Linked DNA regions of Lepisosteus oculatus. The protein of the gene in region 2 binds, or shares a complex with, the protein of the main gene of each other region. Links are inferred from orthologs where the notes say so. Each region holds a gene or a part of one and is shown on either strand. Other genes may lie near its edges. The genes, in order: stx5a, bnip1a and vti1b.

The links.
Region 1: bnip1a (region 2) and stx5a share a complex: the UniProt entries of both Homo sapiens proteins name them as parts of the SNARE complex. The link is inferred for Lepisosteus oculatus from reciprocal best matches to the Homo sapiens genes BNIP1 and STX5.
Region 3: bnip1a (region 2) and vti1b share a complex: the UniProt entries of both Homo sapiens proteins name them as parts of the SNARE complex. The link is inferred for Lepisosteus oculatus from reciprocal best matches to the Homo sapiens genes BNIP1 and VTI1B.

Annotation. Positions count from the first base shown.
Region 1 is NC_090713.1:23,125,673-23,136,634, reverse strand, and holds the start of stx5a (syntaxin-5a), read left to right. Parts: upstream 1-5,562; 5' UTR 5,563-5,650; exon of another isoform or gene 5,651-5,685; intron 5,686-6,274; 5' UTR 6,275-6,372; intron 6,373-7,137; 5' UTR 7,138-7,156; coding exon 7,157-7,351; intron 7,352-7,577; coding exon 7,578-7,648; intron 7,649-7,822; coding exon 7,823-7,878; intron 7,879-7,970; coding exon 7,971-8,041; intron 8,042-8,575; coding exon 8,576-8,692; intron 8,693-9,543; coding exon 9,544-9,600; intron 9,601-10,016; coding exon 10,017-10,098; intron 10,099-10,598; coding exon 10,599-10,699; intron 10,700-10,790; coding exon 10,791-10,912; intron 10,913-10,962. Other genes in the region: vegfba (vascular endothelial growth factor A), read left to right, coding at 1-59, 1,574-1,595. UniProt on the Homo sapiens protein: Mediates endoplasmic reticulum to Golgi transport.
Region 2 is NC_090706.1:27,785,667-27,796,932, reverse strand, and holds the start of bnip1a (vesicle transport protein SEC20), read left to right. Parts: upstream 1-6,860; 5' UTR 6,861-6,893; coding exon 6,894-6,977; intron 6,978-7,434; coding exon 7,435-7,527; intron 7,528-8,688; coding exon 8,689-8,780; intron 8,781-9,976; coding exon 9,977-10,081; intron 10,082-10,543; coding exon 10,544-10,662; intron 10,663-11,266. UniProt on the Homo sapiens protein: As part of a SNARE complex may be involved in endoplasmic reticulum membranes fusion and be required for the maintenance of endoplasmic reticulum organization. Also plays a role in apoptosis.
Region 3 is NC_090703.1:26,308,588-26,319,433, reverse strand, and holds the start of vti1b (vesicle transport through interaction with t-SNAREs homolog 1B), read right to left. Parts: upstream 4,891-10,846; 5' UTR 4,806-4,890; intron 4,286-4,805; exon of another isoform or gene 3,976-4,285; 5' UTR 3,931-3,975; coding exon 3,834-3,930; intron 2,165-3,833; coding exon 2,106-2,164; intron 845-2,105; coding exon 653-844; intron 241-652; coding exon 67-240; intron 1-66. Other genes in the region: rdh12 (retinol dehydrogenase 12), read left to right, coding at 9,697-9,764. UniProt on the Homo sapiens protein: V-SNARE that mediates vesicle transport pathways through interactions with t-SNAREs on the target membrane. These interactions are proposed to mediate aspects of the specificity of vesicle trafficking and to promote fusion of the lipid bilayers.

The DNA.
Region 1 (10,962 bases), on a different chromosome or scaffold from region 2:
AGCGCCACGGCCCGGAGCTGCCAGCTGAAGGGCAGGACCCTGAACCGGCACGCCTGCAGGTGAGGGGCTCCACCTGTGGGGACAGAGGGGTACCGCAGCAGCGCGGTCGGCCTGTGTGAGTCGCCTTCGCCTTCTCATTCTTGGGGCTCAGACTGCGCCCATTCGCTCCAGCCCAGACCCCTCCAGACCCCTCCAGCCCAGACCCCTCCAGACCCCTCCAGACCCCCACATATGCCTCCAGACCCCTCCAGACCCCTCCAGCCCAGACCCCTCCAGACCCCCACATATGCCTCCAGACCCCTCCAGACCCCCCCAGACCCCTCAGACCCCCCCAGACTCCTCCAGACCCCCCCAAACTCCTCCAGACCCCCCCAGACCCCTCCAGACCCCTCAGACCCCTCCAGACCCCTCAGACCCCCCCAGACCCCTCAGACCCCCCCAGACCCCCCCAAACTCCTCCAGACTCCTCCAGACTCCACCAGACCCCTCAGACCCCCCCAGACCCCTCCAGACCCCCCCAGACCCCTCAGACCCCCCCAGACTCCTCCAGACCCCCCCAAACTCCTCCAGACTCCTCCAGACTCCACCAGACCCCTCAGACCCCCCCAGACCCCTCCAGACCCCTCAGACCCCCCCAGACCCCTCCAGACCCCCCCAGACCCCTCAGACCCCTCCAGACCCCCCCAGACCCCTCAGACCCCTCAGACCCCCCTCAGACCCCCCTCAGACCCCCCCCAGACCCCTCAGACCCCTCAGACCCCTCAGACCCCTCCAGACCCCTTAGACCCCTCAGACCCCCCTCAGACCCCCCCCAGACCCCTCCAGACCCCTCAGACCCCCCCCCAGACCCCTCCAGACCCCTCCAGACCCCCCCAGACCCCTCAGACCCCCCCCCAGACCCCTCCAGACCCCTCAGACCCCTCCAGACCCCCCCAGACCCCTCAGACCCCTCCAGACCCCTCAGACCCCTCAGACCCCTCCAGACCCCTCAGACCCCTCCAGACCCCCCCAGACCCCTCCAGACCCCTCAGACCCCTCCAGACCCCTCAGACCCCTCAGACCCCTCCAGACCCCTCCAGACCCCTCAGACCCCTCCAGACCCCCCCAGACCCCTCAGACCCCTCCAGACCCCTCCAGACCCCCCCAGACCCCTCAGACCCCTCAGACCCCTCCAGACCCCTCCAGACCCCCTCAGACCCCTCCAGACCCCTCAGACCCCTCAGACCCCCCCCAGACCCCTCCAGACCCCCCCAAACTCCTCCAGACTCCACCAGACCCCTCAGACCCCTCCAGACCCCCTCAGACCCCTCCAGACCCCTCAGACCCCTCCAGACTCCACCAGACCCCTCAGACCCCCCCAGACCCCTCAGACCCCTCCAGACCCCTCCAGACTCCACCAGACCCCTCAGACCCCCTCAGACCCCCTCAGACCCCCTCAGACCCCCTCAGACCCCTCCAGACCCCTCCAGACCCCCTCAGACCCCTCAGACCCCTGTGCTCCTGCTGATCAGGGGCAGGACTTCTTCTCCCTGCTGCCTGTCGCCCTGACGCCCAGGTGCTGTCTGTGTTCCAGATGTGAGCCCCGGAGGCGGTGATGCCCGGCGACAGGGCTGCTGCTGCGGGACGGCCGTCCTGGGGCCCCTCCTGGAGCAACACCAGAGAAACAAGCCCCCTGCTTCTACAGCCAGGGAGGGGACTGACACCACAACACACAACACACACAACACACACTCGCACACTTCAGACCAGCTAAGGACTGGAAAGACACATTTGAATGATGTCAATGAACAGAACAAACAAAAAATACGCTTCTTTTTTTCCTAAGGAAATGAATCTATATGTATGTATATCTATCTATAAATGTGTCCATCATCATCAGTGTCTTTGTACTGCAGTGTCTCTGATTGGCCTTCATCTGGCCCTCGAGGAGACTGTAGCTGCCCAGCCTCATGCCTGCGCGCCTGCGCTGAGGGCAGGGCTGTCCAATCCCCCCTGACAGGCAGCGGTGCCCCCAAAACGAGTGGGGGCAGCTCAGGCAGCGCTCGGCATGCTGCTTCCTTAACGTGCCTTCTGATGACCCTCCGTCTCGGAGACGGGCTCCACAATGCCCAGGCTCCGCCCGGCTCGGACCTGCGGACTGCAGAAGTACAGCTCACGTGACGCCAGCACATGTAAATACACTCAGTAAAGAAGGCAGAGAAGTCCTTATTATCATGAAATATGCACTGAAACGTTTATTTATGTGAAAATAAAATATGGACATATTTATTTCTTATTTGTTTTATTTTAATCTATGTTGGGCTTATCGTGTTTTATCTATCAGTCTGGGTCACCCTGTACCCCTACAGTCTGGAGATCAGTGGTCCAGTCTGGGTCACACTGTACCCCTACAGTCCAGAGATCACTGGTCCACTCTGGGTCACACTGTATCCCTACAGTCCGGTCTGGGTCACACTGCACCCCTGCAGTCCAGAGATCACTGGTCCAGTCTGGGTCACACTGTACCCCTACAGTCCAGTCTGGGTCACCCTGTACCCCTACAGTCCAGAGATCACCAGTCCAGTCTGGGTCACACTGTATCCCTACAGTCCAGTCTGGGTCACACTGCACCCCTGCAGTCCAGAGATCACTGGTCCAGTCTGGGTCACACTGTACCCCTACAGTCCAGTCTGGGTCACCCTGTACCCCTACAGTCCAGAGATCGCCGGTCCAGTCTGGGTCACACTGTACCCCACCAGTCCAGTCTGGGTCACACTGCACCCCTGCAGTCCAGAGATCACTGGTCCAGTCTGGGTCACACTGTACCCCTGCAGTCCAGAGATCACTGTCCAGTCTGGGTCACACTGTACCCCTACAGTCCAGAGATCACTGTCCAGTCTGGGTCACACTGTACCCCTACAGTCCAGTCTGGGTCACACTGTACCCCTACAGTCCAGAGATCACTGTCCAGTCTGGGTCACACTGCACCCCTGCAGTCCAGAGATTGCCGGTCCAGTGTCAGAGTCACCTTGATCTCGGAGACAGGGAGAGAAGAAACTGTTCTGTCACACTAGGACTGAGTGCAATATGTGTATCTTAATACTATTAGAATTGTCTACATTTGTCTTATTATTTGTTCTTGTTTCCCAATGCTGGGGGCGCCGGTGCTCCCCAGAGTGATTTCATGAACAGAGCGGAATGAGCTCTTCATTTATGGAAAATTGTTGTGCAACTGTGACGATGCCAACCAGGCCGAAGGGAAAGTTGGGGATGAGAAGTGGGATTTCTCCAGAGCAGCTCTGGTTCCCTGTGCTGGCTCGGTCTCTCCCAGCAGCGCACACACACACACACACACACACACACACACACACACACACACACACACACACACACACACGACACCCCTGCCCACCTGGAGCGGATCAGACTGCTGCGCACTGGGAGTCTGACTGACAGCACTGTCACACCTGGAGCGGATCAGACTGCTGCGCACTGGGAGTCTGACTGACAGCACTGTCACACCTGGAGCGGATCAGACTGCTGCACACTGGGAGTCTGACAGCACTGTCACACCTGGAGCGGATCAGACTGCTGGTTTTTGCCATGTAATCGGTCAGACTCCTGACTCCAGACCCCTGCGGTGACAGTTCAGACTTGCCCCAGCCTGTATCTGCCTGTTGCTGTGCCTCCTGTCCAGCTGTGAGTTCCCACGCGTCTCTCTGTGCTGTGTGTGTAGTAAAGCTCTCAATATTGATGAAAGTATATATATATATTCTGCTAAAGATAGTACTACAACAATGTTAACAATATATGTCACATATAAGCTATTAAAGGAAATCTTATTTTTTAAATGAGGTGTTTCCGAGTGGTCTTTCAACTTTATCCCGTTTATTTTGGCTTGTTTCTGGATTAATTTCTTCTATTTGCATATTGATCCATTTTTTAAATGTTAGAATATCTAACAAGACTGGACCTGAACCACCGGACCGGCTGTCCTCCCGGTCTGACACCTGAGCCCTGCAGCAGACAGCAGACAGCAGACAGCAGACAGCTGTGTGTTTGTCATAATCAGAAACCTCAGCACTTCCTGCACTAATGAAAGAAAAACAGTGCGTTGGGGGGGCTGGACGGTGGGGGGAGCCTGATTGCCGCTGGGAGACAATAATATTTACAGACTCGCTGTCCTGGGAGCCGAGAGTCCTGACGAGGGGAGAGGCAGCCAGGAGTTACAGTCTGGTCCGCAGCAGCAGGGGGAGACAGGGCAGAGGGCAGGGCCAGGTCTCTCTCACTCCCTCCCCTGCGGTTTTCAGCCAGTGTCAGACACGGGGGTCCGGCGGTCGTGTTGTGTTTTAATTTAACATGAACTTGGAGCAGGGAGGTGAAAGGTCAAGGGTCATGTGCTCCCCTCCTGCTCCTGCTGCAGGGCAATAAGCGCCCCTTGAGGACACAGCTGGGTGTCTCCCGGGACAGGAGACACTGACTCCTCGTGGGGACACGCCCCTCGTCCACGAGCTGCTGGAGGTGATGAGGAAGCTGAGAGTCCGTAACTGCAGGCGCGGGTCTGTCTGCACTGCCCCCTGCTGCTCGCCGCCAGCACTGCGCTGTCCGAGGAGCCTGGCCACAGGGACAGAGGGGACTCCAGTCTGCAGGGGCGATCTGCACAACAGGTGTGGTGTGTGTGTCAGTGTGGTGTGTGATAAAGGGACAGGGAGAGAGACAGATGGAGGGACAGGGAGACAGACAGATGAAGGGACAGGGAGAGAGACCGGATGGCTCTTGTCTGACCTCCCTGATCCTCTGAGCAGCCTCTTCTAATGCAGTCCGACAGCGCCATCTAGTGGATTCTTTCGGAGCAGGTCTGTTCACACCTTTCGAGAAACTACACGTTGGTTGTCTGTGTGGTGTTTGTGTGTTTGTGTGTGTGCCTTCACCGGTGAGTCTGAGGGTCCTGTCTCCCCAGCCAGTGTCTCTCTGCACATCAGCGCTTACTGACACCATCTCATTGCACAAACGACAAACTGGACTGGACCGACCCTTCGCCTTCCTCCTACTGCACTCGGCCTTCTCGTCCAGGGGCTCCGCAGGCAGGGAAAGGCCACAACACATTCTACACAACACGAGCTCCTTAACAAACACGGATACTGTATATAAATAGAGCACACATCCAGCCAGCTGTCCACTCTGAGCAGGCCAGGAGCTGGGGGAATGGACGGCGACTCAGTCCTACTGCTCCTGAGTCTTGGAAGGAGATGGAAGAGCTCGGATCACCGTGCGACGGGTGATCATGGCAGTCAGGGATCATACTGTGTGATCGAGCGTGATGTCCGGCAGTTGTAGCTGTTGTGCACCAGTCATTGTGCTGGCTACCTGCACCCTCTCGCTCAGTCCGTTTTTATTACGAGCATCAAGGTTAACCAAACCAGTCTCCACACTCAATCCACGAAAGTGAATGGTCTAATTCTGCTCTAAGAGAGAAACAGGAACCGTGACGCCGCACCTGTCCTGGCCGCGCCCCCCGGCGCGATGACGTCAGGCCGGGAGGAGGGGCACGCCCGCTGGTAGACGTGGCGCTGTGACGTCAGCGGCCGGGGAGTGACCCGGATTGAAACGCAGCGGCGGAGGGAGACGGAGCGGCGCGGCGGCGGAACCGGAGAGAGACGCGGACATACCGGTGAGGAGAGAGAGGAGGCCTGTGGCGAACCGCCGGTGCGCACCTCCCCAGCTGGGGGCACGGGTGCCGGGGGAGGTCGGGTTTCCCCGACACCCGTTCCTTTGTGTTTTTAAAATGTCGAGTTATTTATCCGGGAAGGGTAGATGGGGCTTTTAACAGTCTGAAAGTGACCCGCAGTTGCTCTGTCCGTCACTGTCGGCGGTTCGGGGGGGCTGGAGTTTTCTCGGTTATAATGCGCGACCTGTTTCAGTGCAGATTGGAGTGTGTGGTGTGGGGTTTTATTTTAATAGTAGCCTTAAAGACCGCTTGAAGCTGCTGTCGGAGACATCTGAAGTTGTTGTTGACGTCTCAGGCGGCCAATGAGGGCCCCCGGGTAGTTTGATTGACGCGAGTCGCTGCCAACCGCCGCTCGCTGAGGTTACAGCTGGTCGGCGGGGAGTGGCAGCGGGGACAGCCAATAGGGGTCCCGGCGTGATTGCGAGGGGGTAGTGGCCCGTTCGCTGAACCAATAGCGTAGAGCGTTGTCCACAGGGGGCGGTGATGAGCGTGTTGGTGGGCCAATCCGCCGTGGGAAGAGGCGGGGCGCTGGTTGTGCTGACTGAGTCTATCCTCTCATTTCAACAGAAACCGAAAATTTTGGAGTCGGTCCTGAGACAAGATAACAACCCCCCAGCTCGGTGAAATCTAAATCTTAACGCTTATCGAGCCGATAACACAGAAAGGTCAATTGTGATTCTTTGTACACTTTATTCTCTTAAACCTTTTTATTTAAAAATGCTTATTTTATTTATTTCAGCAAAACAGCTGTTCAGCAACTGGTTCATACAGTCCAGTAGGACAGTCTGGTACACTGGGGCTCCAGTCCAGTAGGACAGTCTGGTACACTGGGGCTCCAGTCCAGTAGGACAGTCTGTTACACTGGGGGCTCCAGTCCAGTAGGACAGTCTGTTACACTGGGGGCTCCAGTCCAGTAGGACAGTCCTGTTACACTGGGGGCTCCAGTCCAGTAGGACAGTCCTGTTACACTGGGGGCTCCAGTCCAGTAGGACAGTCCTGTTACACTGGGGGCTCCAGTCCAGTAGGACAGTCCTGTTACACTGGGGGCTCCAGTCCAGTAGGACAGTCCTGTTACACTGGGGGCTCCAGTCCAGTAGGACAGTCTGTTACACTGGGGGCTCCAGTCCAGTAGGACAGTCCGTTACACTGGGGGCTCCAGTCCAGTAGGACAGTCCTGTTACACTGGGGGCTCCAGTCCCGGTCCAGTAGAACAGAGTTCTAGTTATAGTGGGAGGGCTTGTGTCTGTCCAGGTGTCCTTCAGTCTTGTTGGGGACTGTTCCTGTGTTGCTGCAGCAGGGTTGAGGTAGAGGCTGCTGGCGCCAGCCTCCTCCCAGCGCAGAGGGGACCGGTCCCGCTGTCCGGCGCGGGGTGTGGGGCCTGTCCAGTCCTGTCCAGTCCACTGACCCCCGGTTGTCCTCCTGTCCGGCAGGTGATGCTTCGGAGCCTCAATGTATACGAGACGCCGTCACGGTTCTAGAAGCACAGAGCAGGGCGTGTATCTCGGACCCTCCCAGACGCAAGCGCAGGACTGCCCCCCCCCTGCCGGGCCCCCCCCCCTCCCCGTCGCCACCGACAACGCCATGTCCGGCCGGGACCGCACCCAGGAGTTCCTCTCCGCCTGCAAGTCGCTGCAGGGCAGACAGGTACTGGGGAGAGGAGAGGGAGGTGGGGGAGACAGGAGAGAAGAGGAGGAGGGAGGCGGGGGAGGGAGAGGAAGGGCTGAAGATGTGAGGGTTGAGGGGGAGGATGGAGGAGGGAGAGAGGGCAATAGGAGAGGTATAGAGGGTTGATCAGTGGGGTGAGGGAGAGGAGGAGGAGGAGGAGGAGGAGGAGGAAGAGGAGGCTCATTCTGTGTCTCTGCTCTGCCAGAATGGAGTCCAGGTCCACAAGCCGGCTCTCAGCGCGGTCAAGCAACGCAGCGACTTCACCATCATGGCCAAGTGAGTCCCCTGCTCTCCAGCTCGCTGACCGCCGCCTTTCACGCGTCTCCACCTTGTCACGCGGATCTCGGCCATCCGGACACTGTAAACCCAGGCGTCAGTGACAGGCTGGACACGCGGGGCTGACCGCTGACCGCTGACCTCTGCTCCCTGTTCTTTGTCTCTCGCCCACAGGAGGATTGGGAAGGACTTGAGCAACACTTTTGCCAAACTGGAGAAACTGACGATACGTAAGCACACTTTCCCCGCTGTGCTGTGGTGGGTGAGCTTGCGAGGGCGGTGGTGCGTGCCGGTCATGTGACGCGTCTCTGGGGTTTTGCAGTTGCCAAGAGGAAGTCGCTGTTCGATGACAAGGCCGTGGAGATCGAGGAGCTCACCTACATCATCAAGCAGGCAAGTGGCTGAGCAGATGTATTACTTACTGAGCTCGGAGCTGACTGGGTCGGGGGATACCGTGTCTGGAATGGGCTCGGAGCTGACTGGGTCGGGGGAGACGGTGTCTGGAATGGGCTCGGATCTGACTGGGTCGGGGGATACGGTGTCTGGAATGGGCTCGGAGCTGACTGGGCCGGGGGAGACCGTGTCTGGAATGGGCTCGGAGCTGACTGGGCCGGGGGAGACCGTGTCTGGAATGGGCTCGGAGCTGACTGGGCCGGGGGAGACCGTGTCTGGAATGGGCTCGGAGCTGACTGGGTCGGGGGAGACCGTGTCTGGAATGGGCTCGGAGCTGACTGGGCCGGGGGATACGGTGTCTGGAATGGGCTCGGAGCTGACTGGGTCGGGGGAGACGGTGTCTGGAATGGGCTCGGAGCTGACTGGGCCGGGGGATACCGTGTCTGGAATGGGCTCGGAGCTGACTGGGCCGGGGGATACCGTGTCTGGAATGGGCTCGGAGCTGACTGTCATGGTCTCTGTTTCCTTGTGCAGGACATCAACAGCCTGAACAAGCAGATTGCCCAGCTGCAGGACCTGGTCCGGTCGCGGGGCGGCCAGTCCGGCCGGCACATCCAGACACATTCCAACACCATCGTGGTGTCGCTGCAGGTCAGTCCGGCCCGCCGGCCCACAGGTCCTCCGCGGGGAGGGAGAGAGGCCGTGTCCCACCCGCCGCACTGCCTGCGGGCCTGCGCGGGCGAGGGTTCGAGGGGCACCCTCGTGTGACGTCGCTCGCTGGCTCCGGGTCTGAGTGCCATCTGCTGTTACTGCCTCCCCTCCAGTGGCTCAGTGCACGTCTGCAGGGAATTATTTTAAAAGGCCACTGGGTGCCGTCTGGTCTGTCCCTGCGCACAAGCGGCGAGGCAGCATGTTCCTTCACGCTGAGCAGGCCCGGCTGAGGAAAACTTGGCAACAGATTGCTTAATCAGAGTCTTGCGCCGCTAAATCCGTTTCATCTCGTCTGTCCCAGCACAAAAACGGCAGTGGGAGGAAGGTAACGCCTCTATTCACATGACCAGGTTTGTTCCAAAGTGGTCAAAGTCGGTTAAATAAGGTAAACTTGGCAGTACGTGAGAGCTTTGCACTGTTGAATACTGAATATTTAGTACTTGCGTCTCTCAGCGTACAAAACACACCGCCTGTCGGCGAATATTCATGAGTCAGAATGAGGCGATGACAGAAAAGCTTTATGTCAACGTTTTGTGCCTCCGCTGGATCTGAAGCGGCCTCATACAAACCAGTGGACGTAAAATCTGATGAGTTGTTAAACTCAGCGAGGAGGGGGGGGTGATCCCCCTCAGCCCAGTCCGCTGGGCGCGTGGGGGCGCTCGTGAGCCCCCCGGTGAAACGCAGGTTAGAAACGGGATGCCCCGAGCCCCAGCGAGACCGCGGACGAGGATGCTGGGACACAGCAGGAGACCAATGCTCACTCTTCTCTTCTCTCGCTCTCGCTCCTGCAGTCCAAGCTGGCCACGATGTCCAACGACTTCAAGTCGGTCCTGGAGGTGAGAACAGAGGTGAGTGTTGTCCTGGAGGGAGGACTCGGGTCCGAGTCCACAGCGCAGCTTTCGGGGGGCTGTACTGGGAAAGGAACCCCTGTTTCCGCACCGTGCTGGACAGTGGGCTTGCAGCTGCCATGCTGTCAGCTCAGCGAGGGGGAGGTGGGAGGAGTCTGTGACATCACATCCGGTCTGGAGTGGGCGGGGTTGCACACCTGGCACAGGTGTGGTTGGTGTCACTGGGTGACTGGGGATGTGTGAGAGTCTGGAGGACTCAGTGTTCGGCTCTGGCTGCTGCCCCCCAGGGGGGTTGTGGGGCAGCTGTAGGGAGACGGACTGTTCCGTCCCGGAGTCCGGGGATCTTGCAGGAGTCAGGACAGCGGTGTCTTCCTGTTGGCGTGAGGGTCTGACTTCCTGTCTGCTTGTTGACGCAGAACCTGAAGCAGCAGCGCAGCCGGCGAGAGCACTTCTCTCAGGCGCCCGTCTCCTCCTCCCCGCTGCACGCCAACAACTTCGGTGAGAGCCACGGCCCTGTCGCTCTCCCGTCACTGCCCGTCTCCCGTCACTGCCTCCTCTCTCTCTGTCACTGCCAGTCTCCCGTCACCGCCTCCTCTCTCTCTCTGTCACTGCCAGTCTCCCGTCACTGCCTCCTCTCTCTCTGTCACTGCCAGTCTCCCGTCACTGCCTCCTCTCTCTCTGTCACTGCCAGTCTCCCGTCACTGCCTCCTCTCTCTCTGTCACTGCCAGTCTCCCGTCACTGCCTCCTCTCTCTCTCTGTCACTGCCAGTCTCCCGTCACTGCCTCCTCTCTCTCTCTGTCACTGCCCGTCTCCCGTCACTGCCTCCTCTCTCTCTGTCACTGCCCGTCTCCCGTCACTGCCTCCTCTCTCTCTGTCACTGCCCGTCTCCCGTCACTGCCTCCTCTCTCTCTGTCACTGCCTCGCCGTCTCCCGTCACTGTTGGTACAACGCCTCCACGCTTCCACTGGACAAGTCTCGTCTGTCTCCGTCTCTCCAGGCAGCTCGGTGCTCCTGCGGGACGACTCTCCGCGCTCGGCAGACGTCTCCATCGACATGGACGCCAGGGCCAGCCAGCAGCTGCAGCTCCTCGACGAGCAGGTGAGGGGGAGGAGGGGCCAGGGGAGGAAGGCTGCTGCGGCCGGGCCCGTGTGGGGGCCGGACCCGTGAGCGCTCCGTCTGCTCTCCCCAGGACTCGTACATTCAGAGCCGGGCCGACACCATGCAGAACATCGAGTCCACCATCGTGGAGCTGGGCTCCATCTTCCAGCAGCTGGCTCACATGGTGAAGGAGCAGGAGGAGACCATCCAGAGGTGAGGGGAGAGGGACGGGGGAGAGAGAGAGGGGAGAGAGGAGAGAAGGA
Region 2 (11,266 bases):
AAAAAAGTACAATGTGTCCAGGAGTATTTTAAGGAAGCTCTGTCTTGTGAATGGTTTAAGCTAAATAAAAAACAATCTTTGTACTGTATGTAACGGAGGTTTGTAAGGGAGGGAAACAATCAGAAGCTCTTTGCCTCCACAACCTCATTTCCATTCACAAGTTTACGTATAAAATAGTTTTGCTTTGGCTACTTACACAGGCTGCACTGACAACCGATGCAGTCCGGCCTGTTTGAAATGATAAAGCAATTACAATTTTGTAAAAACAAAATACGATGTATTTGTCAAGTGTTAACGAAAACGAATTTGATTTCATTAAAGCATTTGTCAAATATTTTTCCCATGGGCTGTATGGCAGTATAATTATTGCTATTTTTCCAGCACCAGTAAAGTGTTCTTGCGGGTTTTCACGTTTAACATGATGAACGCAAGCTGTGCAGCTTTACATTTTAACCAGGGGACTCTGTGGCATTTAAGCAGTTTAGAAAATGGTTGTTAATTCAATGCCAGTACCTTCTATTTCTGCTTCCTCTATTGACCTTAAGAAACATATAAATATATATTCTAATTTTGTCAAAAAAAATACATCCTTAACAGAGAAAACAGGAGAAGTGTATGTGTTTATTTTTTTTTTAATTCTTATTTTGTACTTTTGGCATGCTTACAGTACATTGTCCAGTTTGTAGTGTATATGATAATAATGCTGACAATAAATAGTCTACTGTTGAAGGTGCACTATGCAGATTTTACTCTTGTGAGTAAGGCAGTACATTGCTTTAGTTTTTAACTTTCCATGTGTAGGAAACAGGAGCTTTTACCTGTTTGCTTTACAGACATCAAACCTAGTCCTATGGATATTAGTTTGGTCAATTCTGCAAATGACCAGCAAGGTCAAGAGACTTTGGCAGGTCTGACTAGACTTTAGTGTGTTTATTGAGAACTGAAGGCAACTCAAATTTGTTGGATGGTTTTTTTTCAGTAGATAGCAGTCTCATAATACATGCTTGCAAAATGTCTTAATGATGTTCAGTAAACTTCTGCTTCAAAAGCTTTTTTAACCAGAGGAATGCTGTAGCTGTATTTTGGGGGGTGAGGGGCATTTGTGAACATATGGACTCAAAAATGTGGATTCTGCATTAAACGTTTTATCCATTTTAAAATTACATACACTTCCCAGATTGAACCGCTCTTGTTACAGGAATCGTGTGATAGTACTTACGATGTAGTGTCACCTCTGTCATTTTTTGTCCTTTGTATCTCATCTGTCAGAGGTGTCAGTTTGCCTTAAGAGATACACGAAGACAGAATTTGTTCTCAAAATCAGACAGGTCTTGTGAGCTTTTTCTATAGCAGTGGCTTTGAAAGCAGGTCCTCCTGATAGAAAGTTTTTTCTGAACTCTAAGAATGTATTAGCCTTGACCCCCAGTCCATGTGCCCTTAATTCTGAGTAGGTGTGTTATATAGAGTGGCATTAAAAATACAATAAATTAATATCGTGACCAATACCATTTGTTGCATTTTTAATGGCACTCAGTATATTTCAGGAGATGTAAGTTACAGAATGCACATTCAACGAATATAGAAGGATTAAAGATGGGATATCTGATTTCTGCCAGCACAAGGAGAAGGCCATTTATTTTTTTATTAAATCAATATGAGTCCGTATGCATTGTATTTCTAAATCCACTAATTCAAATTAAAAGTACAAACACAATTTACCAGAATATATCCACTGCATTGCAGTGGGTTTCACAATTCAAACCTATTTTTAATACAACAAATTAATGCCTGCTTTAACAGGTGCCTTACTTAAGAGAGAAAAATGTTCAAGTTTTCTTATTTGATTGTTAAATGTTTGACATAAATATCTGATTTTGTGATTAAGCTGAGTTAGCCCATCATGCCAAGAATTTTGGACAGTTTTGAAGGAGTGTGGTGGCTTTCTGTTGAAATCTGTACTTGGTCTGTTTCAGGTACAGTTTTCACTAAAAGTTGACCCTCCAGCAGAATGTAGTCTTCCGTGAGAGGATTGATACAAATCAAACTAAAAATAGCAAAGATATGTCCAGTTTAACAATGGGTAAAGCAATCCAAAGAGTGCTGAAATTTTGATTCACAATAATTTAAGCATTTTTTTCCTCATTCACGATTTCTGTATGTTCTGTGGTTAACTTATTTTATTTCTGTAAAACTGATATTTTGTATTTCTTTTGTATTTATGGTCTAAATCTGTAATTTATTGCACAAGTTTGAATTTAGATTAAACGTTTTGCCTTTTGAATTCCTCTACCACTTTCTTTTCTCTAGTTTTCTTTTGTTCCCCCTCTTTCTTTCCTAAATCAAGCAAAAAACAAAAACTTGTGTTCTACTTTCCAAAAGGAATGTTAGTAAGGGGATGTGGGACTGGGACAAGCAGGGATGTTGAAATGAAGTCCTAATTTACAGATGCTTTTAAACGTATCAAAAGGAAGGACAAGGCTAAACCTTTCATTTTGTGTCCCTTCAAAAATTAACATATATATGTGCCTACTGACTCTGCATTTGACTTTCAGTAAATACGTTTCCGTATCATTTGCTGTCTACAGTTCAATTTTAAATACAAAAGCACCTGGCCTTTTGCAGCTGTTCACCAGTGAACAATAAAGGTTCAAATGGTAAACGACACAAAACAGGGTAGGCCTGTTGACTTCCGATTGAATCTGTAAATGCTTCTTAAGCAACCCTTTTGGTTCCAGACATGCATGGTCTGTCTTTTCACATTTTCTGCTGTAGAAGTGTTGGGAGGTGTACAGAAACCTCTATTGAAACAGTCAGCATCGATTTATCAGACCGCGAAACCCAAAACCGTGACCTGAACTGACATTTTGAACATTTTTAGTAGTGTTCTGACGTATAAACTATCTTGTCATGAGCACAGCTACGGAAATGAAAAGTTAAATCCGATTAAAATGCAAAGGGCTTCTTTCAGAGTAAATGTACTAGATTAAAAGGTTTTCACTTTACTTTGATGTGAAAGTGCAAGCAGCGCCACATCAGTAAATCAGTGAATATGAGAAGTCATGAATATCCCCAGAAAAGTGTTGCTCAGCAGCTTTCTTGATGAGCATCTTCACAGAAAGTAGGATTTCAAGCTGTGAAGTTCATAAAGCATTAGCATGGTGGTAGATGTGTAAGACCTTAAGCAGCTTGTTGTAAGATGATGTCATATGAATTTAGCCTTTTAATGAGGGTTTAATAAAGACACGTTACACTGAAGAGCTCAGACAGCTGGTTTTGTACTGTGCTTAATCTGATGACGTCCGTTTGGGTCACTCTTGTTGTTTGGCACACATCTGCTTATCAGTAAAGTGTCATCTCTGACCTCTCAGTACCTGACACCAGTGACATTGTACAGGGACCACCATACATGAAACTGAAATAAAAACTCCTCACAATACATGACATTGTATTTCTGTACCCGGCAATGAATTACATTTCCTTCCAAACTTTGAACAAAGGAAAGACTGATATTTAAGAATACAATGAAAGTAAAACCAAATGTCACAAAAAGGCTAAACTTAATTCCATACAACATTTTAAGACAGGCAATTTAAGTAATGTCCTTTTTAAAAATAAAACGAACCATGCCCTCACACAGACGCTTTTAACGTTGTATGGTACGTCACTCCTAGATGAATAGCATGGGGTTTGTTAATAGGTAGTACTGTTGTGTGTACTTCCCAGGTGTAACTTTGTATCTCATTAGGAAGGCTGTACTTCATTGCTAAATGCTCTGTAATAGAACTTTGGTGACATTTTAAGCAAATCTGCAGTTGTGTATCCTGCTGAAACTAACAATAACTTGATCCTACTAGTCATGTCTATATCTGTAGCTCACATATATGCCTGTTGAACACAATATCTAAACAGTTGTTATGTTTATGTTGTTTAATTGTTGTGCTGTTTTTTTTTCTCGAGGCACAGTTATCATTATTAGAGAAAAATCACTGGATAACAAACACCATGTATATGTACAGAAGTAAATTAGACTGAGTTCGATCTTAATCGATTTTTTTAAAGGATCCTTTATATGCGTAATTGTGCCTCTTGGTTTTCTCTTTCTTTATTCTTTTTTTTTTTAATTTCACCGCATTGTATCAGCCCGGAGTTGGTACCACAGTTGCTTGTAACCATGATAGTCTAATTCCATTATTGTTTTTAATACGAAAATAAATGTTAGAAACGATATTGCCGTTTGTGTTTTTACTGCTTTCTTTTAACAGTGTCCGTGCCCTTCCACATTTGAGACTTGTTCTATGTCACAGATCCACCAGTTGTGCGGTTTTAATCCCAGGTTGTGTTTCAAGCTGTTCCTTGCTCTATTGCGTTAAAAGAGGATGTCATGTCTGTCTGCTGACTTGAGTACTTTTCCATGCCTAAGAAAGAGGGACACCTCATTTCAAACCCACATAAATGCCATGAGAAATAATATACTGCACTTGACCATTATCCATCTATCTATTTTCTAACCACTTTATCCAATACTGGGTCACGGGGGAGCTAAAGCCTATCCCAGCAAACAACAGGCACAAGGTAGGATACTTGGATGTATCGCCAGAGACCACTGCAGGGCACGCAAAGGCACAGACTCAATCAAATTTTCCCAGAAGCCAATAACCTACCGGTATCTCTTTGGACTGTAGGCGGAAATCCATGTGAACGTGAGGAGAACATACAAACTCCACACAGACAGTGCCCCAGGAATTGTACCCAGGGTTCCCGGCATAATGAGGTGGCGATGCTAGCCACTGCGCCACTGTGCTGCCCTCGACTCTTATGCTTAACTTAAAAGAAAATATCTGAAAAGTGGCGAAGGCTTAATCAAATTATTATTTGAATATTATAATAAGAGTTATTGTAATAACTATTTTTTGCCTGTTTCTGGCTTGGGAGATTTTTTTTTCAAATTTCTGGAGCACCTTAGCCTGAAGACATTAGATATTCTTAGGAGGAACTGTATCCTTCAGGCAGTTAATACTCTGGCCATTTACTGTAGCTTCTAATTCCCTTTGTGTCTTTTTATGACACACCTTACTAGGACTCAAGTGAGGATTACAAGCTGTGTACAATTTCTGGAAATCGGTTAGTGTCATGCTTCTTTGCACTTCAAAGGAAATGGTGGAGCTTGGAAGGCAGACCTTTTGGCTTCACAAAGAGTGGCGAATGGCTTTTAGCGTTTGCTCGCCCTGTAACTGCTGCAAGGGAGAAATGAAACAGGAAGATCTGCAAGAACAACTACACTGGAAAATAACTTTTAGCTTTTAAAGGAAGAAGATGTGAAGAAGACTTGGAATATTCATAAAAGGAATATCCAAAAAAAGGAATCTCACATGGGATAAGGGATAAGTGACCAAGTCATCTTGTTGACAGACCATTCCAGTGCTGTAGCAGAATAAGCTGCTGTGTGGGGAAATATCAAGTTTTGATTTACTAACATTAGGGCCTATCGTCTCTTTATACAATTCCGTTTGTGAAATGTAATGGTGGGCAGCCACACCATCACCCGGCTCTTTACTGTAAGGTGAACAGGACACGGCAAAAACAGAGCAATTCAAGGCATTGATCTTTAAGGAATTAGAAAGATCAACTTTTCCTTTTCATGCTAGAGAATTATTAAAACAAAGAAGTGTCCATAGATGCATCGCAGACATGTGTACTGTATGTTTAAACATATACAACATATATTGCTGTTAGTTCAAACATTTATTCAGCTTTCAGAGGCATCCTGGGAACCAGAAACAGCTTTATGCGAAATAAAACTGAATACAAGTGGCTGGTTTGAAAGGGAGCTGGGCTAACCCCAACCACTGAGGTAAGCCGGCGCCAGCAGGAGAATAGGAGAAAGATTAATCAGATGACTTTTGTTTTGGAGGATTAGGGCGCCTGTTTCTGAGCTCAGAACGCAGCCTCCCTCCTCTGTCCTTCTCTGCCCACACCACATATCTGCTCTGGTGCTGGGGATTCAGCCAGTGTCACTTCCTCAATACTTACTGGTCACCTCTGCAGAAGATGTGACATCATTTTCCTTGAAACCAGCGCCCCAGTTTAGAGAGGGCTGGGGATGAAGGATGTGGCCGGTGGTTTTCTTACCTAATAGAAATACTTTATTGTTAACTTAGCTGACGTCCTTATCTGAGGCAATTTAGAATACTTAAAAATTCTACGTTAAGTTGAAGTACAAGGACAGCGAACATGCAAGCACAGTAAAATTAATAAGATTATGTGAAAAAGTCTAGGTTCAATACGGGTGCTGTACAAAACAATGATATAGTACTAAAATATATAGTATTTCACATATTATATCACTCAAGACATAATCCAAGAAGAACTAAGGATTTGCAAGTATGTGTAGAACTACACAATACATGCCAGCACTATGCATAGAGAGGAAAAATAGGCTTGCATTCTAACTGTGCTACTCTTAAGAAAACTTACAGCACTATTCAAGACATATAAACTGTCCCCAAAAAGAAAATATGCTTTATCTGGGAGCATGAATGCAGAAGAAGTTGTCATATGGAATTATGAAACACGGGTAATTAAAGTCACCGTTTCCTAGCAACAAAACGTGGGCATAATTCCCTGGCAGACTGTAATGGCTTTAAAACACGTTTAAAGGCATGGCACAGCATCATCTTTGTGAACAAAGTTGGAGGTACACTGCAACTGGAAGTAAAGTGTGGTATGCAAATCCAATTAAACAACGTTGTTTTTACTCTTCAGTTCACAAAGCGCTAATGTATTGCAACAGAAGAGAAATGGTTGTTTCCCTTAGCACGTCAAGGAAAGGAGGGGAAAAAGGCGTTTAGTTTGCCGCAATGAGCCTCGTGAGGCCCCGTAGTCTGCGTTCAAAGATGGCTTCCTCGCCGGATGTCCACGTCCGTATTTGTGGACAAGAAATAATCAAATATGATTTGGAAATAAAAGCCCTCATTCAGGTGAGAACGATAAATATATTTTATAATTATATATAAATATATATTTTAAATGGTGCTTCGAATCAGATTGTTTACATCTATTTATTTTACTTGAAAAAGGTTGAGATCCCTTCACACGTAACCGGCAAATGTAGTTCTACTTAGCTAGCTCTTGCAAGACGGGGTCAAGTAATAATATGACGAACTATCAATGAATTATTATTAAACATTGACTATATATTAAGTAGTTTCCACAATTAAAATCTAATCTCATTAAAATATTTTGAATATAAAATTAATTTGGAAATAACCCTATTTTTTCAGTTTTAAAAAATCATACATTGGCCAATATTGGAATATTTGGTTATTAGCCCCCTATTGAGGAATGTGTGTTGCACTCAGACACAATAAAGCATAACCGTTTACTGTGTTATTATACTTTTATTTGTGAGCTTCTTGCCTTTTTTTTTTGCTTAAGGATATTAGAGAATGTCCGGGACCACAGAGCAAGCTGACGGACTTAAACTCTCAAGTAAAACAGAAATTCAATCATCTGAGAATGAGGATACAGGTGAGTAAAAACCTTATACGTGAAAGTGTATTCAAATAACACAGCATGCTATCACTACGTATTTGTTTTAACGACTAACTAAGTTGATGTCTGTATCCGTACTTCTGTGGCACAGTTTTACCAGTGAGTCATTTAATACGCCTCTGAGCTCTGGTAAGATTTATTTCATATAGTGACCTGTCTTTGCTGTTTTTTTATTCAAAGCTCATTCATATTCTGACTTGGATGCTGCTATTGTACCCTTAAGCAACGTATTTAGACTACTACAGTACATACCCTGCTGGATAAATAAAAGAAGTTACAAATGAGAGGAAGTTATTTGGCCCACCCAGGGCCAATGGACACAATGTATCAGCTTCAGCAATATAGCAGGGCAGCTTGTTCCACACTCCCACCACCCTCTGTGTAAAGATGAGCCTTCTGTTCTCATTTTGATTTAATCTTTAAATGGGTCTTCTATAGACCTAACATGGTCAAATTAATTAACAAATGGCGATTGATCATTTTGAGGCTATATCGAGCCTACGACCTATACAAATCTACTAGGTTTATATCAGTAATTATCTACAGGTTTGCTACTGGCTTATGGTTAATTTGCATTAATTTCCTGTTTGGATATATGTTCTATGTTTTCAGCTTAAAGACAAATTCCCATAGGGTCAATAAAGGTTAAAAGGGTAAATGAATGACATCATGGTGGATATCAGCCCAGTTTCAGAACTCACAAGTAACGCAGAATTAACTAAAATGATCCCTGTGAGAAAGTATGATAAACTGTCGTTCTCTTCTGGGTTTACATTGACCACATTCAAAACTGAGTGTACAGAAACCAAAATGCAAGCAGTTTAGACTTAAAGGCATCAATTAGTGCTGCTGATTACAGCGCTCACTTAGATAAAAAAACTAGTCGATAGAGTGTTAGGGTTAGGAACCTCTGTTTTTTAAGATGAGTGGTACAAGAAGATGTGATTTTAGTGTATAAATACACATGTCGTGAAGATGGAGATGGTGCATGGCTCTGAGCATCAAAGCATCAGGCTTTGAAACAGCTTTTTTATCATCAGAGTTTTGGGGTTCTCACAGCTGCATAATGGATTTCCCCTCCCTGAATTCCAGCCTTTTCTTGTCAGCGCTGGTGTATCGTTGTCCATGTTTTCGTAGGATCTGGCGGAACTGGCTAAGGAGCAGGATAAGGAATCGGACAAGCTGGCCATACTGAACGAAATGGAGGGACATCGGAAACAGATGCTGAGGTGAGGTGGGAAGAGATTTTTAGAAAATGAAAAGTTGATCAGGGTATGCTAAGGCAGTGTTTCCCAATTCCAGTCCATTCCTGCCTTTTTTCAGTTTTTGTTTTTTAAATTTTTTCTGTCAATGAAATTTCAGCTCATGAATACTAAATCAGAATACTAAATAAGAAATCAGCATTTACCCTACACCAGAAACTTTTCCTTTGTTGTTTCATATGAGAAATCAAACAGGGGGTCTATACATCAGCGAGAATGTATATAATGCTAGTGTTTTACATTCTTTCCCATCTGTGTATGAACATCATTAAAACACCTTAGTTTTATAGAAAGCTATGTTGAAATGAATTTGAAAAAGTGGCCTTTTTCCAGCATTTCTTGGAAATGGTGCATACGAAGATGTTCTGCGTGTCCAAGCCCTGATGCAGATTCTCAGTCCTAAATTAGGATTTAAAATAATCCTGAGTGCAGAGAACCTTTGGAAGTCAAACACGGTGGTTAAATTAAGAGTTTCATAAAGCTGATTAGTCAGGAGCCCAGTTCTGATAAAACTGGAAGACATCTGGAAGGTAGGACTGCTACACATCTTAGTGCTATTTGCTCTCTATTTGAGAGAATAACTAGCTCTGTATAGGAGCCCAGTTTTTTCAATCTTGAACACAGCAGATTACAAGGAACTTGCTAGACAAAAGTTAGATAAAACTGGTATTCATTGGATTATTTTTAATAATGCAATAAGGGTCCAGAAACAATTGGAAATTAAGAGAGTATATTAGGACTGAGAATGGGATGCATTTTTTACACAAAAAGAAGTGGGTGTCCAAACTAAGCTCAAGTTATGTTTTCCATCCTTTAAGACATAACTGGGATCTTAGGGTCAAATAACTACCTGTACTAAGTGATGTAGCGCAAAATATTATGTACCTTGAGACTTGCCAGTTTTTATCAGGTGTGTGACATCACAGTTATTGGAAATATCGCATATCCATAACTTGGTTTCTTTAAGCTTATCCCAGGGCATAAAATAAAATTCACTGACATTTAAAATGAGTTTTAAAAGGATTGTAAGCTGCTCAGTTGTTAAATAACCTTCTAGCAGTGTTGATTTAGTGAGTACTACAGGTACTAATACAAAACCGAGGAAGAGCTTTTTTTTGTTCTTTTTTTTCTTTCATTCTTTCATTGAATCTTTTATATTTTAGTAATCAGACTGCATGGAGAAAGGCTAACTTGGCCTGCAAACTAGCCATTGATAACTGGGAGAAGGATGAGCTGCTACAGGGAAGGGATTCTTCAGTGAGGCAAAGGTAGGAATTACTTGATTGTGTAAAGAACCCTGGACAAAGATATATTCGACCCTAACGGATAGAGGCACTGTGTCCTGTTGAGAATGGTCATCTAATCATGAAATGCTGATCCAGGAATAAAAGCTCATACACCAAAAACCGCAGTTCATCAAAAACCACAGCGGTGCTAAAACCTTTCATTCACATTTGAAATATGTGTGGGACACACTCAAATAGACATTTCCATACAAAAATTTAGAATGTGCTTAAAAATCGAATATTTCCAGCAATACATAATTATATCTATGCATAGTTAATATCGTTATTTACTAGCATCCAAATGAGCTAGATGGCTCAAAAGGCCCCCTTTTACTTGTGACTTCTGCTCTCATATAAATAAAGGGTTACATCTTTGTATATAGAGCTGTACACTGTGGATTCCCAGTATTTGAACTGTTTCTGTTCCATCGTTTCTGTCCTTAGAAAGACAACCAAAGAGAGCCTTGCCCAGACCTCCAGTGACATCACGGAGAGCCTCATGAGTATCAGCAGGCTGATGTCCCAGCAGGTCCAGCAGAGCGAGGAGACTATAAGCACCCTGGGTGAGTGAGAGCCCCCTGTTTCCCCACCGCTGTCCTTACACAGCACCTGTCCAGCTACCGGTTACACATTCCTGACCATCAAGGTGTGGTATTGTGCTGTGGTGATAGCCCTGCCTTCTTTTACTTTTTGTAGAGTGACGACGCACAACTCACAGAGCAGAGCAGTCTTTGTTGTTCAGTGTACCTCAGTGTATGAGGGTCTATCCAGCATGACAGATACAGGAATACCAGAGTCTATTGCATCTTTGGTCAATGGCTGTGACACAGTTTGCAGTTATACAAACTATAACCAGACAGTGGAGCCACATTGTTATAGATGGCTTTGCTCAGTCTTTATGAGTGGCAATCTGCAGATGGACCATTATTGAATAAAGGCGATCACAAAGTTTAGTGTTATGCTATCATTGACAGTTTTGTGCTTGAATATGAAAGTGTGCAGCTGGAAATTATCTGTATTCTATTCTTCTATACCTTCATCTGACACAGGTATAAGTGGAGACTGTAAGGCCATTGACTCACTAGGAAAAAAGCTGTTGATTAACAGGCTGCTGCATTGGTGAATTGAGAAATTAAAGGGCCGATCTCTCTAGGTAGAGAAAATCTT
Region 3 (10,846 bases), on a different chromosome or scaffold from region 2:
AGGCTATCTGTTTCACTTCTCCTAACAGAGTGTGGATGGGGGGGGGGGGCAGAGAGCTGCACTCACTCTGTCTCTGGTGCGGTCCAGCTGATCTCTCTGCTCTCCCAGCTCTTCGATGATGTCTGTCCCAACCTGGTCCGTCTCAGCTGCTATGCCATGAGATCGCTCCAGGCTCTGCGTGGCCCGGTTCAGAGACTCTGTTCCCTGCAAGAGCAGGGCTCTTTGAGACTGCAGTTGCGTCTGAAACATAATAGACTAGGTCAGTGTGGATTCTAAAACATCAAATACTGGGACAGTGGCCCAGTATACTAGCCTGATCAAATTCTATTTTGAAATTTGTCTCTCATTTAAATGGACAAAATGTGACACATGTGAGAGCTATTCTCTAAACTTTGCAAACAGTAACTAGTTCCTGCAGGATGAAAAGAGTGTTAAGAATGAATTTCATTCTTGTACATTTCAAATAATAATAATAATAATAATAATAATAATACAATAAAATCCTAAATTGAACAGGTATAAAATCCGTTATCAGATAGTCTAGAAAGGTGAATATCTATGTTACATACAGAAGAAAGAAAAAGTTGAGACAGAACTTTCAGGCTTTCGTACTGGAGTTAACTCCTCTCCAGGACAGCTATGCTAGACTTACACTTTGCTCATTCTCAGCAGCAAAAACTCCATATCTGCCCTCTCCTCGAACCCCAAACCCCAAACCCAGGTCTGAGCTCTTCATCTCACGCTGCAGCTTCCCCAGATCCCGCCTGTAAATGCGGATCTTAGTGGTCATTGGGTTTTGAAAGGAAGGAGGAGCTCCAATCAGTTCTTTCTCCATCTCCTGGAGCTGCAAGTACATTTAAAAAATGTTACTTTACAAACACAGAAATCAAAAGTGTAGTATTTTTTTTTTACTTTGACCCATTCTTCCTTACAGCACTGCTTCAACTCAGTGATGTTGGTGGGCTTTCTTGCATGAACACCCCGCTGCAATGTTCTTCTTGGAGAGTGGTAGCTTCCTCCTTACTATCCTCCCATGCACACTCTTCTTGTTCACTGTTTGTCTGATGGTGAACACTGACATTAGCCAGTGCAAAAGAGGCCTGTAGATCCTTAGACGTTACCCTTGGGTTCTTTGTGGTCTCGTGGAATATTACACACCTTGCTCTTGGATTGATTTTTGTTGGACAATCACTCCTGGGGAGAATAACAATGGTGTTGAATTTTCTCCATTTGTACACTATCTGCCTGACAGTGGATTGGTAAAGTCTTTAGAAATTGTTTTGGAACCTTTTCCAGCCTGATGAGCATCCACAACTCTTTTTCTGAGATCCTCAGAAATCTCCTTTGATCGAGACATGGCATGTGTTCACAAACCTGTGTGGTGAAGACCAGACTTTGGTGGTGAAGGCTCAGGTTTATGTTTTTTAAACAGGGCAGGGCCCCCCAAACTCACACCTGATTGTCATTCCATAGATTGACACTCCTGAATCTAAATTATCCCCTTACCTGAACAGGTAATATTAGAGGTTCACATACTTTTTCCAACAAAAATCATTTTGATCAATAAATGAATAAAAACATACATCATTTTGTGTGTTACTTGTTTTACTGGGTTCTCTTTATCTATTTTTTTTTACTTAGATGAAGATCTGATCACATTTTAGGTCAAATTCATGCAAAAATTCAGAAAACTCTAAAGGGTTTACAAACTTTCTAGCACCACTGTAGGTAGATACATACAGGAAAATACTACTACAAATAAGTAAGTGTTGCTTGGCAAGGACAGATATGAAATGTTTCACAAATCTGCAACAAAGGTCAACAAACATGGGGGGGGGGGGGGGTCTAAAAGCCACTGGGCTAAATTCAAACATGGAATTAGCAAAGGACTGGTCCAGCACATTTGATTTATTTGGTTACAGGGGAAGTCAGATACAAGCCAAATGTAAAAGCAGCTCTTCAACTGTTCAATTAGTTGATATGGTGACTGAGTAAATTATAGAACTTATGGATCTAGCTGACAATCAAGATCTCCCCGGACAGCCTTAAAACCCTGTAGAGCACAAACATTTAAGAATGAAAATCCCACCTTATCCTTTCCTTACCATTTCCTCTGCCTCTCCTACTTTTTCATCAAAAACTCTCACATGCCGCTTCCTTTCCTCTGAAAGAAGAAAGGTTTTAGAGTTGTGCTCATAGCAAAAAGGTTCAAGTTGCATGCACTGGCATACCTATATTTAAAAAATGCTTGCTCGCTAGAACATCTCTTGTGACCCCAGCTAGGGATTTAGTGCTGTATTCACTACCTCACCATCCCTTACGTATAAAATATTAAATAAGTATAATATAACACATTACTGCTGGTTCCAAAGTGTCCTGTTCTTCCCTAAGTAACATTTCTTTCATATTCTAAAGCAAGTTGTAGAACTTTAAGCAGGCACCAAAGAGGCAGTAAAGAGGTTTTATGTTAAAACTTGTATAGATAAGCACTGAAAAGGAAAGTTATGTTGTACACAAGATTTACAAAAAGCATTTGATTCAAAATACTATTTTCAGAAGTTAAATCCCATTCATCCATTATCTTACTGCTTCATCCAATACAGGGCTGCTGGGGAGCTTAAGCCAATTTTACCAGGTGCCAATTAATCTACTAGTGAGTTTTTGGACTGCGGGAGGAAACTGGAGCTCCCACAGATAACAGACACGAACACGAAGAGAACATACAAACTCCACACAGATAGCACACGAGGGCCATTGCACTGCAAGACAATTTCCTAAATGTTACACCTATTACAAGTAATGTTTTAAAAACGTTCAAAAGAAAGAACAAAATGTGGACCACATATTCTTTGAGGTTCTTGTGTTTTATATGAAATTGGTGACAGTGGTTTAAAACAGTGAAGTTGGTTGCTATAGATGGGTTATCCTGAACAATTTAAAATTCCTCTGTACATTTTCTGTTTCTCATCAGAGGTCTGGCCTAAACCGCCTGTTCCACCCATGACACTTTTATGTCCAAATAAGTCATATACTGCATTATCAGCAAAGAATGCAACCTTATGTGAGTTTTAAGTATCAATCCAGATGAAGGCAGCACCATCAGGAGCAAGTCCTTACTACCAAACTTGTCTCTCGGAATGAACGGAACCAAAATGGGAATGAAATTAAAATTCTGATATCATTACAATTTCATGAGGTTTTCCGAGTTCAGGGCTTCTCTAAAAGAAGAAAACGTCAAAGAATTTTTGTTCCAGGACGTTTTGGATAAATGTTTTATAATTTGTAACGTTTGCACTGCACTTTATAAGTCTCTTGTTTTGTATGTTGCCGTTCTACAAACTGTACGAAAGTTTTGCATTTTATTGCATTTATTAGAATTGTGCATTTCCTACGTTGCTTTGTCGATCTTTATTTTTTTAATATTGAATATAAATTTACTTGAATATTTAGAGCGAATTCTGCGCTCTACTTGCACAGACACATTCGTAAGCCATTCTGTGCCTCTTCAGTGATAACAGAATCAAGGTAACAGCTCAGTTATTCCTAGTACCTTCCTGGAGCCTGTATTCATCTCACGACACCGACTGTCAGCAGCAATAATGATAATATAGACTTCTGACATTTATATTTCACTAAGGAGCTAGAAATCCCAAACGTTGAATTGAGGTAACGTTTTAAAATGTCTCGTTAATATATTGTGTTAGGTTTTCCATCGGAATATTTATCGAATGTGAAGTATTTCCAATTAATATTATATATATTATAATTCCAATGAATTTCTGGTATTTTATTGATTGAAATTCCAGTTCGACTTTCGAAGCCTTTCTACTTACCTCCATAACATCGGGACACTCGGTCTGGCATCACTTTTAGCTCTTCGAAAAGGGATTTATAAAACTCATGCAACTTTTCAAACTCTTCGGAAGACATTTCAGTATTTGTGTTTTGTTTCAAGGAACCAACCGCGTAATTCACCTACAAGTCAAATATAAGTACGTGAAAACAAAAGATTATCGGGACTCCTGGTAATGGTCCTTGCATTTTAGACCACTTTTCGTTGCCTGTTTTGAAGGGATTAACATTATAAGAAGAATAGGTACAATAATAACGCCATATATGCTACGTTATAAAACATGACATTATCTTAACTATTTTTTTAATTACAAGACTTGAAGTTTCCCTCTCAAATGTGTATTTTATAAAGGCTTCTACCAAGGAAAACTAAAGAGCAAAGCTTTATGGACAATGTAGTACTCGGAATGTGTGGGAATGAGCTTCACATGATTAGTGACCCTTTAAATTGTTTTATCTGCAAATATTACAGTATGCTTTCTAAAAAAAAATAAGTTTTTTGTTGTTTTGAGTGGGTATCATATTAATTGATTTATCTAAATGACATATCTAAATGATCTTTTAGAACAGTAAACGTTTCAACAAACCTATAGTGTCCCAAAAATCTCAGTAATCGTCCTCTAGAAAGCCGCCTTTCAAGACAAATTAAAAGATTCGTATACAAGTATATTTACGTATACTTTTATTTTAAATGGAACATCTTTAAGATTCTCTCGGGTAGTTACAGTTTTGTGCACCCAAAACTATGCCAGCTATCAACCTTGTAGACTTTAAACTTAAAAGCAAGTAGTAGAATAACTCGAGTAGAATAACTCTTTGTATGCTACCGCAAAGACTACAGCACTTAAGAGTTAATATTTTTCAAAGAAACGTAGCCTGATACTATTAGACGAGGTTTAAAGCAGAGCACATATAGTGTAAATATGTAACGTTTATCAGAAATATAACTTTACCTGTTGAGGATTTTTTTCCCAGACATTTTTTAGAACTTTTATTTTGAAAGCTTATGAGACTAGGAAGCTAGTTATTTTAAGCGACGCGAATGATCCGGAAGTGTATGTAAATAGCCGAATTTCAATCAAAATAAAAGCCTTCAGCTACCACAGGAGTATAGTATGAGGAGTATAGCAACATTAAGCTGAAACACCTGCTTTGTTATTTCTTCGTGGGTAACTGTAATTCCTTGAACATTCTGCCAAAATTTGAGAGGGTCCTTTTTAATTTTAAATCGTATCCACTAATCTCCAAGTTTGACAAATCTAAGATTATTAGAAGTTTTTATTAATTTTACAGCACCTTTCTTCCATTTATAGTACTGTAAAAATTGTCATTGTTATATTCTTTTCATAGACATGTTTTTTTCCTGTCCAATGAAAAAGGTTTTAAGATGCAAGCTTTTAAAGGAGCTGTATCTGAAATTTCTAATTAAATCAAATCATTTATTATATTTTAATTCAGTTTTTTAGACTATAATCAAGGGCAAAAACATTTTTTTTGCACCATCAAAAGTGGTGAAACATACAATTTTAAGACAGTCAGACAATAGCAAATCACCCTTTTTTTGTCAGATAAGTGGCTCTGTCAAAACTGCTGGGGTTTATAGAGCACCTCCCATTCCCAGACTGGGACCTCTTCAAAAATACCTCAGATCTATTCTACAGACCCACGGCTAATAGAAAATAACTGTGTTTTTTTCAGATAAGTGTTTTTGCTAATGTTACTGGGGTTTATAGGACCGCTTGCTGTTCCCAGACTGGGACTGTGCAGTGATGGACAGGGAAAAGTGTAAACAATAACCGTGATCCCAACCAAAGTAATGCTGACACTGAAGATCATAGTATTGTGACCAAAACCATAGCTGTGACACGGAGTAACCATACAATATAAAAAGGTTCTTAGACATAGAGTGGATGACTGGCACTGTTTTGAAAAGGCAAAAACTGTAATGCATCTGTAAATCATCCAACAGGTAAAAAACACAAAGGTGGAGTGTGACGCTTGCAATGAGTGGATTAATTTTGTTTGTATAGGTATGAGACAGAATGACAAAGATATTGATTCTGTAGGGTTTCTGTGTTGCTCAGAAAATTGTGATGTTAAAGCCACGGCATTAAAAACTGGGTTCAGTTTCTTGAACAAATGTGAAGCAATCAGCAGTGTAATACATAATAAGTTAGATGTAACCAAAAAAAAGTAAAATTGATGTATCACGTCAGCATTGGTGCTCAAACAGCGCTGGATTATCTCATTTGGGGGGCTTATTGTGGTAAGACAGACAATAAACAGATGGTTTCCCAGGATAGGGAGGTCGAGCTAAATGGTGACACAGAAGTGGAAAGTAGTATTGCATGTAGTGCATCCGTCACCCAAGGAAATTGTTCCTCATGTAATTCCCTCAAAAAGTAAAATGCACAGTATGTGCAGAAGTGATGTTGATGGTATGAATCTACATGGTAGGTGTTATGAGAAACCCCGGAAATTAAAACACGAGCACAGTGGTAATTTTCCAAAACCAGCTAAAATAACCAAGGAAATTTTGCAGAGTCGGCATGTATATCTTCAGTGTCATAATTAATTCAGTGGGATTAGAAGATCTCTCTGCTCATATTTATGATACCTGCATTTTCATGGGTAGTAGATAAAATAACACACTTGTCACACAGTCTATTTCCAATCTCAGAAGTCTAGTGTCACAACTGAACACTAGCAGTGTCCCCACTGTTACAGGTGCTGAGGACTCAGATGTTGATTTTGGATGCATAGAGAATGTGAATTCTCCATTTATTCACGATTTAAAAAAATGTACATTAAGGCAATGACAGATATAAACAGACAGGAGAACAAAGAGCCCAATGACTATTTTGGTTCAAAACTTGTTTTGGAAAAAAAAAAATCCTGTCGTCAATCTCAATTTGGACAGACATACTAATGGGTAGATTTCAGCAAGATGGATGGACTACATCAATTTCTGAGGTAAAGCTCAAAATGAATGTGTGGAAAGGTTAGGAACTCTTTACAAAGGAAATTAAAGGGAATTTTGTGATAAGATAAGACTGAATTTTTCTAGAATAAGTAAGTCTCCTGCCCTTGTGGAAGAGGAGGAATGGAACAAGAAAATTCCACAACATCTCAGGCATTCATTCCAAAAACCCCCTATCAAGACAATCAGACATTTTTAGTCTAAATGATACATGCAAAATTTATGGTCATCCAAATGATTACAACAAGCCACCTATCATTACATTCTCAAAAACAAGTGCTGGTTAAATTTTGTCATGTAGCGTGTTAGTAACATGAATGCAATGCAGACCAAAACAAATATTAAATTATTTTCTAAAGGTTTTAAGATTATGCCTGGCTGTTTACTGAATTTGGTCAAACCTTCCATCAACAACCTTAGCAGCTACTTTTCAAAGCCAGTGTTAGATGAGATATGTGAAGTAATATCTTCAGTAGATTTCAAGAGAGAAATTTACCCAGCCAATTTAATAATTCCCCTTATGTCCTGGTTTGTTTGTGGCCAAGTAAACAGTATTACTTCCCATGTAGACTTTTGCTAGAACTGTAGTTTCCTGCATACCGAAAGACGTGAAGTCAGTCATTTTTTGCTTGCACAGATAGCTGAGTTTTTCATGAGTTAATCGACCCTCATACACAAGTCTTTGCTAGAGAACATAGTCACACAGAATTGCTCAAAGTGTTAGCAAACAGTGGTCTGGAAGCAACAATTTAGCTCTTGTCCACAAACTATTGTGATTCAGATTCCCAGAGCACATTCCACTGCGAACTGCAGTTGGAATTGGAAAGTGTTGGTAAAGTGCAATGTACAATTAAATCAACAATATGCCATGAAGGAAAGTCTATAAACAGAGGTGGACATCATTGGGCGGTACTTTTGTGCATTGGACAGAAATTTAGAATTAAAGCAAATGATCAATACATCACAACACAGCCAACACATAGCATAGACCAAACTAATTATTGTGTTTGTTTTCTAGAAATAAGGGAGGCATCAGACAGAGACATATATTGGTCAAACCATGTACTCACTGTTGAGAATGCCAATACTCATGAAACACAAAAAAACCTGGAGCCACTGAACAGTTACATATCAACTCTACTGCATAGTAAAGAGGCACTGAAAGAGTCTTTGAATAGCTTGCAATCAGTGACAAAGAAACAGACAGCCTTACCTGTAACAATACACAAGACTTTCAAGACCCTTCTGGGATCTAAAGCTATTCAGATTTCCAAAAATACGTGTAGATGCCGAACCAGGTAAAATTGACATAGAAGTTTCGTGAGAAATTCTCTAATATTAGATTCTATCATCCAAAATTGAACCCCGGAGGGTTTCTTGCAGTTCAATGAGGTTTTTCCTCCCCCCTGTGCTGTGGAGAATTTATGTGTCCAAAGGATAATAGGCCAGACAGCTGAAGCAGCATTTGAATGCTGTCTGAGTAGTTCTACACTCAAAATAATAAAAGCTGATGTAATTTAAGAGAAAATCTGTAGTGTTTTAATACAGAACACTTACAAGGCATCTTTACTTCCCAGTCTTTCGGAACGCATGGGGGGAATCAATTAACAACTAGTACTTGGGCAACATGTGAGCCACCGTTTCCACATTACTGGATCAAATCAAAAAGGCTCCATACCATGTCTGTGGCAGAGCCACCTTCCCAGGAAAGATACATCACCATTGAAGGTCTATTCAATATTTTGGCTGTTTCAATACACTCTAATAAATTTAATAAAGCAGAATACCAAAGTTTGATAATATGTCTTACATTTACACTCCAAACAATTATCCCATAGACAGTAAGGAAAAAAGTGTGAAATTGACACTTTATTTCAAACCAGAAAGGATAATCCACTGGTGAAGTGTTAACAATGCCCACATTGTGATATCATGCCCTTCGAGACAAATCTAGTATCGGCCACTAAAAGACCCCTATAAACCCCAGCAACATTGGCAAAGGACGCTCATCTGGCAAAACCATTAGCTGAGTACTATAGTACTATTAGCTGAGGATCTGTAGAACAGATCTAAGTCACTTTTGGAGAGGAACAAATTTTTATTTGGTCGGGAGGGGAATGAGACCACTCCCTGTCCATCACTGCACGGTTCCAGTCTGGGAACAGCAAGTGGTCTTCTAAACCCCAGCAACTTTAGCAAAGACACATATAATGACAAAACCTCGGTTATGTACTATTAGCTGAGGGTCTGTAGAGTAGATTTGAGGTATTTTTGGAGAGTGCCCATCGCTGCACTGTCCCAATCTGGGAATTGGAGGTGCTCTATAAACCCCAGCAGTTTTGACAGAGGTGCTTATCTGAGAAAACCATGGTGATTTTCTATTAGCTGAGGGTCTGTAGAATAGATTGGAACTACTTTTGGAGAGGCACAGTTTTTTTTGTCAGGAATTATACTTTTCCATGTCTAGCAATGCACAGCTCTGTGTCAATTTGCAAGGAGAAAGTGTTATAAAAACACCAATAAGATTGCAAGAGAGCAAAAAAATTAATGAAGAACGGCAATTCCTTATTACCTGTGGGTCTATTTATCACATTCCACCTAGTTTTGAGGATGAACAAATTGTTGTTGTGACTATAAATGTGACTTTAACTGGCCCAGGATTATTTTTTATGAGGCAGGTTTTATGGGACTTTTATTTTGAAAGGTGCTGACAAGCCAGCGCCGCTTAATGTCGCTAAATTCACGCTACTCAATCAAAGTAAAAAGTCCTTCAGCTATTACAGTAACGTACAGCTGAGCAAAGAGCAAGAGTAGCGAGCGTGAAGAGAAGAAGAGATACATGTAGGTGAAGGGGGAAGGTTACAATGTTGACATTAATTGCAATTCTAGGTGTCATCGGAGTCCTCTGGTACTTATTAAGGGGTTACATCAGGTAAACGAGTGTCTTTTTTGCAGAGTTTTAATTCGGAGTCGTGATTTTCCCAACAGATGGGTGGATAACATTGATTTCTCATTTGTGATATGTACCATATATGTTTTAATTAGGTTGGACAACTGAAAAAACTGTCACCAAAATTATTTCTGTAAATGCTTTAGAAAGCACCTAAATAGCCAAATTCAGCTGTCCTGACACTTCAGTATTGTGTATCATTTACGATGCAAGGTCTTGTCTAATTTTACAATGTAGTAGTAGTAATAATAATAATAATAATAATAATAATAATAATTGCTTACACTTATATAGCGCTTTTCCGGACACTCCACTCAAAGCTCCCCTCCACCACCACCAATGTGCAGCATCCACCTGGATGTATTGTCTAATGATACGGTATCTTTACTATAATTATTTCAATAGAGTTGAAATTATTGTGCACTACACCTCTGTTCTGGCGTCTTCAACAGTTTTTTGCGAAAATAAATAAGCAAATACATGCACATATATTGTAAACCGTATGATTGGAATACCTGTTAAACGGCCTGTCGTATTAGTAATCGCCGGTAATTTTGTTTGGCGGATTAATAAAGGAATACAGCATCTAAAATTGAGAAGTAGTCATACTTGTTTCGCAGTGAGCAGAGTTCGTTTTTAACCGGGAAACCCTATCGGTTTAGGGCAGGTTAAAGATGGACCACATGATGAATAATTAACATTGACAATGTGGAACACTTTATCCTAGTGGTCAGGCTTCTTCAGTTCATTTGCACACAGCATTTTTTGATTGATGATCTGCGCTTTGGTAACTTCGTATCCTGTGTCTACAGATGACAGTTGCCACCCACGACCATATAGAGACTGTTGAAAGGACAATTAGCTGTTCACCACGTAGTGGTTGACTTATGGCTTTAACTCTTGCAAGTTTCACTGATAACTCTTGCCCATTATTGTGAACTCAGCTTTTGGTTAAGAACTTTGAGTATGGGATATAACTCTTTAGTTTATTAGGTCTACATAGAAGGACTTACATAAACGTCAGGTTGAAGACAAGTTAATATTTCTCATACAGAAAATGAGTC